Linked DNA regions of Neurospora crassa OR74A. The protein of the gene in region 2 purifies or fractionates together with the protein of the main gene of each other region. This does not show direct contact. Links are inferred from orthologs where the notes say so. Each region holds a gene or a part of one and is shown on either strand. Other genes may lie near its edges.

Evidence for each region. The genes of interacting proteins can lie anywhere in the genome.
Region 1: the proteins of NCU04806 (region 2) and NCU06542 purify together in Saccharomyces cerevisiae (affinity purification with mass spectrometry; 3 studies listed by BioGRID). This does not show direct contact. The link is inferred for Neurospora crassa OR74A from reciprocal best matches to the Saccharomyces cerevisiae genes RSM7 and MRPS12.

Annotation. Positions count from the first base shown.
Region 1 is NC_026504.1:1,584,359-1,587,403, forward strand, and holds NCU06542 (putative mitochondrial 37S ribosomal protein MRPS12), read right to left. Parts: upstream 1,639-3,045; 5' UTR 1,496-1,638; coding exon 1,340-1,495; intron 1,185-1,339; coding exon 891-1,184; intron 757-890; coding exon 682-756; 3' UTR 501-681; downstream 1-500. Other genes in the region: NCU06541 (alpha-1,2 mannosyltransferase KTR1), read left to right, coding at 1-38; NCU06543 (acyl-CoA dehydrogenase), read left to right, coding at 2,830-2,921, 3,021-3,045. UniProt on the Saccharomyces cerevisiae protein: Component of the mitochondrial ribosome (mitoribosome), a dedicated translation machinery responsible for the synthesis of mitochondrial genome-encoded proteins, including at least some of the essential transmembrane subunits of the mitochondrial respiratory chain.
Region 2 is NC_026506.1:887,727-891,800, forward strand, and holds NCU04806 (hypothetical protein), read left to right. Parts: upstream 1-1,314; 5' UTR 1,315-1,696; coding exon 1,697-2,170; intron 2,171-2,284; coding exon 2,285-2,740; 3' UTR 2,741-3,574; downstream 3,575-4,074.

The DNA.
Region 1 (3,045 bases), on a different chromosome or scaffold from region 2:
TTCCGAAGCCAGAAGGCTGGCAAGATCAGTCGGATTAGAAGGAGGCGAAGAAGAAACAGTTCTGAGGGTGTGGGGATTAAGGCTTTATGTTGGGAAAACAGGTCTGCAAATAAAACCAAAAGCGGACATTCCCTAGAATGTATTATCGTTATAATGACTTTTTCGTTCTCAATTGGTGGTACAACCCAATTGCCTGGAAACATGGACCTATAAATGGGAAAGGTTGGGCAAAAACGAAGCTGCCTGTTCTGAGTGTTTTGATGGATAGGGAAGGGCTATAAGGGGCGTTAAGGAAATCATGACACAATCACTTAGGGTTAGGTTCGTTGTTACCGACTGCTGAGATAACCCTGGTATTGCCAGGTGTGAAAAGGCAAGCTGACAGCAACACAGTTGGTCCAGTGTCTCCGTCCTTCCCCGAAGTATTTCGTCTTCGGTGTTGTATCATCTTGAACATGGCCAGTCTTCGACAGTCGTAATACAAGGAATATGGACGCCGATATCCTGTCATGCACCTTTTATTTCCTTATAGTACACGGACACATAGTTTAGGATGCGGAATGATGAACTACATGGATGAAGCTTAACCACCTCCACCACGCTCACATCACATCATCATCATCCTACTGCCATGTAACCAGGGGGGGTATCATCTCAATTGTGCTCTGTTGTGCTAGCTGCTTAACCAACAGAGGCCTTCTTGGGCTTCTTGGTACCGTACTTGCTACGACTAGACATACGAGTAGCAACACCGGCCTGTTTTATCACCATTCTTTGTCAGCACATCATTTTCACAAACTAAACACTCATCTTCCCCTTTTTCTCCTTCTCTCCCATCCTCCATCCAGGGGTCTCCATCTAGGGATTTTTCTTCTCAGGAAAAAACTTACCAAATCCAAAGCACCTCTAACAAGATGATACCTCACACCAGGGCAATCCTGGGCTCTGCCGCCACGCACGAGCACGACGCTGTGCTGCGAAATGTTGTGGCCCTCGCCGGGGATATAGGCCGTGATGACCTTACCCGTGGAAAGACGGACACGGGCAGTCTTGCGTTCGCCCGAATTGGGCTTCTTGGGACGCGTGATGCCGACTTTGACACATACACCCTTGAGCGCGGGAGACTTGATGGAGGACAGGGCGGGGGAGACGGCGTGGCGAGCACGTTGGGGCTTACGGCAACCCTGGAGGAATGAAGATAAGAGTGGTTAGCTTTTGATCAGATTGAATTGGACGCGGGACATAGGGCTGTGGTAGTAGCACGGGAACCAAAGTGGTGATAGGTGCATAGGTAGGTAGAGGTAGGCGGGTTGGGGATAGCCTCATCATCATCACTTACCCTCATGACCTGGTTAAGAGTGGCATTCTGCGCCGGAGTGCTGGAGAACAACCGCGCAGCAGCAGGAAGGATGGAAGAGGACGATGGCATCAGCGGCCGTCGTAGCAGCGACGGCTGCGCCTGCGAAAACAAGTTCCGCAAGAAAGTCGTCGCCATCTTGTGATCTTGTGGATCTTGCTGATGGCGGGATGCTCCGAAATCGTCAAGTTCGGTCGGTCGCGGCGCGCAACAGGACGCGGTACAGTACAGGATAGCGGTTCCCCAGGCCGGGCCCGGCAGGCGCACGCAGGGCCGGCGGCGGCGGGCGGTACCAGTGTGGGAACTTTTTTCGTGTCACGGGATGACACACGTGGAGATAAGCTGAGCCAAGAAGGTAGCAGAGGTACGTACCTACTGCCGTGCTTGAGGGACGGAAGCCATTGGGTAAGCTCCGAGTCGTGTGCGGCAATCATCGGTTAGCTGTGAGCCTTCGACAAACTGACAGTCACATGGCATTTGTTTTCCATTCCCCTTCGTTTTCTGAAACTCGTTCGTTGGCACCTCATCATTCCATTTCTATCGCTCGTCTGGCTCTGTTTTCCCTTCTCGCTCACGATCCATGGTTTGCTATTCGCGATTAACGAGTCACGATCCACGGTCTAGCAACAATGGTCACCGCTCGCCGTGCCCCGTGCCCGGCCATCATCAAGGTCCATTCGAGAGAGAGTGCCCCTCCTCCGATGTCCCGTCTCTACCGTGTCTCCCCCAAATGCATCCCTGTCGTGGCCACCGTTTACCCCGGCCAAGGAAATCTTTGTGGGGAAAATGACCTCTTAAGAGGACCGCCCGATTCGGAGCTTTGTGAATGGTGGAGACCTTACCTCGGCAGAGGGGGAGACACTTGACCCAGCTGTTCACAGCATATCGGCCGTGTGCCGGCCAATGCCATTGACCTTTGTTACCCGCTGGCTTGGCTTTTGAATTACTGAGAGAGAGAGGGATAGAGAGAGCTAACAGTAGAGCTCTTGTCCCGGTTGCCCGTAGGTATCCTGCTATCAAGGTGTACGCACCTATCTCCTCGAATACCGCGTGGGCTTCTGCGATAATGATCTGTTCTGTATATCAAATGCATAGTGACAGGTTAGACACATCGAAGGTGTAGGAGATGCATACGATGCAAAGGTCAAGAGAAATCGGGACTCTCTTCACCTTATTTTGAGCCCACGCTGTCATTGTTGCCTTCCATCCAATACTCCACGGATCATCGTTACGGAGCTACATAAGTACATCTTTCATCTGGTCGTTAGTGTTAGCTCCGCTGTACCGTGCCCAGCGACTTATAAGTACCCGAAGCTCGTTCCATCACACCTCCAGTTCTCCTTCCCCAAGCATTTGATACCCTTTCCGCCTTCTTTTCTTCCATTATCTCTGTCCTCTTCGTTCTTCCTAGACAGCACTCGCGCCAGGTTTCCGATCGGTTCTTTAATCATCACACATACGCATCAGACACAATGAAGTCGTTCACTAGGGTTTTGCGTCCCGCCGTCCGCAGGGCTCAGGCAGTTTCCGCTCCCAGACTCTCCAGAACTCCCGTCGTCCAATGGTAAGTTTTGTCATCTCGTCTCATGCCTGGTCTGGTCTCAAAAGAGATGGGCTGGAAGAGGGAGAAGGCGATGTGCTAATACTTGGTTTCCCGACATAGCGCTCGCACTCTTTCCACCACCTCC
Region 2 (4,074 bases):
TTAGTCAACGAACGCTTCGGGACGGAGGGGTAATACAAGACACGGAGCCGAGGCCGGGGGGCCGGGGTCGGGACCGCACCACATACCAAACCAATAGCTGAATGGTTACTCTCGCATGGGCGGACTGTAGATACGGCGCGGGGGCCCGAAGAAGAAAACGGAATATTCGTTGGTCAACCACAAACACAACAAATTTACGACGAAATTTTTACCGAATGGACGGATGACCGCCTGCCTATCCGCGGCTGGCCAGTTCTTACACTAGATCGTTACTCAACGTCAAAGTACTTTGCTTCTTCAGAGGTTTACTACAGGCTTCCAGGTCCACAGAAACCGCACTTTGCCGTAAGGGGGTGTAGTGTAGAATAGTAAAATATGGTGTAAATCACCAGTCACCACCCATCATGCACCGCACAACAGGGATACCGTTAGTGGGTACCTTGGATATGTAGATGTAAGTAAACTCGATGCGGCTTCTTGCCTTGACTGAAGGTGGTGGACATGTTGATATTGAACACCCCATCGAGAGTGAGGCGGCAAGTCATGACAGGGACAAAGCTAGGTACCTAGTCAAGACAAGGCGAGCCACATATAAACAAGCAGAGCGTACAGAGTGTGAAATAACATTGTGTTCGATGCCCCTAGTAGAGAAGTCAATTTGCTAGTTTATCTACATACTGTCCTTCCTAGGTGTCCCGAACTTAACCGCATCTACACTAATGACGATCTGACTTGCCATGTCCAGCTTGTCTTGACCGACGGATCCGATTATGCTGCTGTTGAGAGACATTTGAGGCGGTCTAGTCTAGCACCTCTTTTGGCAGGAAACGAGCCTCGGACTCGTAACCAGTGAGGACCCTTGTCTTGATGGCTTCAGTTGTACATAGTGTAGTGTAGATTCTTTGAAAGTGCATGTTGGTGGAGGAGGTGGTGGGTTACCTCTACCCTCCCTGGGCCCATCACCAGGATCAGCCGATCAGGATCAGGAACCAGATCGGCTGCAGTTGGAGATCGCGGCCTGTGGGTTGGTGGATATCAAGGTACCATGTTGACCTTGTCCAAACTAAACTCCCCAAACAGGGAGGATTGGATGGAAGGATGGAAGGATACAAGATGACGACGACTGACGGCCAGGTAGGGGACCAGGTTGGGTGATCAACGAACGCCGCCGCGTGGGGGGGGCCCACGTCCGAGTTGCCGGATGGAGTTCGGTTGTTGATCAGGGGAGCTGGGGAGGGGGGGTGGCTTTTTAAGGTTATGGTCTGTGCGTTCCCTCTTTTTTATTTTTCTTTTGGCGGGGGGTTTGAGCCGCAGCGGCGCACCAACGTCGTCCTCGGGAAAACTCCGGAAAGGCGAACGGCTCCAAAAAATTGTTCCTGAAGTCCCGCTCTCCGGGGCTCCACTCGATGCCACTGCCGCCGGCCAAACATTGCAGAGTCCGCCGAGATCACGAGTGTTCGAGTCCCTCCCCCCGGCTGCTTCGCGGGTTCGTTGCGTGCGCGTAGTAGTGTCTGTCCGCCCCGTGTTTGAGTGGTGTTTCCCAAGCCGGCCCGCCCTCCGTCCGCCGCCTTCGTTCTGCCCCCCCGCGCCGTGTGTGTGTACCCCCACCGTCGTCGTCGTCGCAAGCCGATTAGCCAGCAAACTCAACCACCACCATCACCACTACCGAACACCCGCATCACCACCACAAACAAAGATGCCTGCGAGGTTGGGTCTCAGTGCCGCCTTCCGGTCCCTGTCCATCCGGACAAACCAATTGCCTCAGCAGCAATCGATTGCCGCCGCCGTGCAGGCGCGCACCCTCATCACAGATTCCACCACCTCGTCGAGGCTACCACCCAGAGTCCAAATCCAGCAGCAACAACAACAAAGGACACAACCATACTCGACCGAGACCACCCCTCCTCCCAACAGCAACAATGGTGACCTTGCCGGCATTGAAGGCCAACCACCAGTAGAGGTCACCCCCGAGAACGCTGCCGCCCTGTCCCAGTTGTCGGAGATCGCATACGGTGTCAAGGCGGCCGACGTCGCGATCGAGGGCCACAAGTACGGTCTGCCTACGCTGCCGCTGCCGTCGGAGCTGCACCACAAGTACCGCTACTCGGAGGTCGTCAACCACGCTACCAAGCTACTCATGAAGGATGGAAAGCTGAGCAAGGCGCAGAGGGTACGACGGTCCCTCCCCCATATGCCCATTACTCCCACTTTACCTACGGCACCTCTGCTCAAACTACTTTGCGATCACAAAGCTAACACACTATCCTTTTTCTTAACATAACAGGACATGGCCATGATCCTAAACTACCTCCGCTCCTCGCCCCCTCCCAAACTCAACCCCTCGCGCCCTCTGATCCCCGGCCACCCTCCGGCCTCGCACCTGCCGCTCAACCCGGTCGAGTACCTCACGGTCGCCATTGACTCGGTAGCGCCCCTGATCAAGATGCGCGGCTACAAGGGTCTGGCCGGTGGTGGTCGCTCTCTCGAAGTGCCGCAGCCCATCCCGGCGCGCCAGCGCCGCTCCACGGCCTTCAAGTGGATTCTGGATGTGGTCAACAAGAAGCCGAGCAAGGGATCCGGTCGCACCATGTTTGCGCACCGCGTGGCTGAGGAGATTGTGGCTGTCGTCGAGGGCAGGAGCTCGGTCTGGGATAAGCGGATGTTGATTCACAAGCTGGGCACGGCCAACAGAGCCAATCTGAACTCGCCGGCGCTGCAGTTGAAGGGCAAGAGGTTCTGAGGTTGATTGGTTGATTGATTGATTGATGGACACCCTGTTAAGCCAACAACATAGCGAAGCCAAGCAATCTCTGACCGACAGCCTTTTTCTTGTGTATACTAGTTTTTTGTGTGTGTATGGATATGTATGCTCCTACTTTGCTGCTGCTGCTGCTGCTGCTGCTGCTGCCGCCTCTGTGATGGAGCGAAAAAGCCGGTGAAAGGTTTTGGGCTCATTGTGAAGCCGGGTGTCTTGTCTTAGCTTGTTTGGTTACGGTTCTGGCGAGGTTGATGGTGGCCAATGACCCTTGACTGACCATATTCTTGGATTTAGAGGTAATGGACACAAACATACTACGCACAACCTATAGCTACAATGTGGTTTAAAAAAAGGTCAGCAGTGGATCTCAGCCTGGAGTGATCCGGCTAAGATATCGACACACGGGCTGTACAATTTGTATACGAGTTTCTACAGGATTCTGAATACCACGGCTTGTTACATGACGAGGATTGTTTGCTGTCTTGTCAGATGACTTTTATCACGAGCATCGCAGGAGGTCGAATAACTTGGGGTTTCGAATGGAGTTGTAGCAAGAGAGCCGTCAACAGGAGTGATCCTTGTTGCGAGTAATCTTTTTTGAGGTGTGCTCAGGAGCAGCATCGATAGTCATAAGGAAGTAAGAGGAAAGAACTTGATATTCATAACCAGTAGATGATAACTGAAAACCGACCACGTCAATTGAGTTTGTCGGTCACAGAAAGTGGGCTCTAATCACGCTCAGGACGATGCAGTGTGACAAGCAAAGACTAGGTACCCAAACATCCATCACATGCGCAATTACGTCTCCTAGATCACGACCACTTCGACTTATCATTTTACTCTTGTTTTTTCCCTATGTCATCGCAACACATTACATACTTATAGACGCAATTTGAGGTTGTGGCTGAAAAGAGAATCATCAAACAACTGTCGCTGTCTCGTGTGGGGCCAACGGCGGCGCAGCGCGTGGTCTGGTGGATCAAGAAATGCCGAGCATGGGATTCGGTTATTACCCTGACTCAGCTCGGGCAAGCAATGTTGGAACTCTTCTAGCTCGGTCAAAAATGTTCCATTGGAGCTCTTGAACGCAAAGTCCAGGTCCCCTTTCCAACGCCTGAACCTGGGGGCGGGTGCAGAGATCTTGGCGGGAGGCAAATAATCAACCTTAAATTTAAAGGGTACTTACTTCATCCACTTACATGATTGTTCATGTTCTTTGCAACATTACCCAGTTGAGTGGCAGCCCATGCGAAGCGGCGTTGGCTGATTACTCACTTCTACTTACTTGATATCTGCAACTTTCACCAACTCGGTCG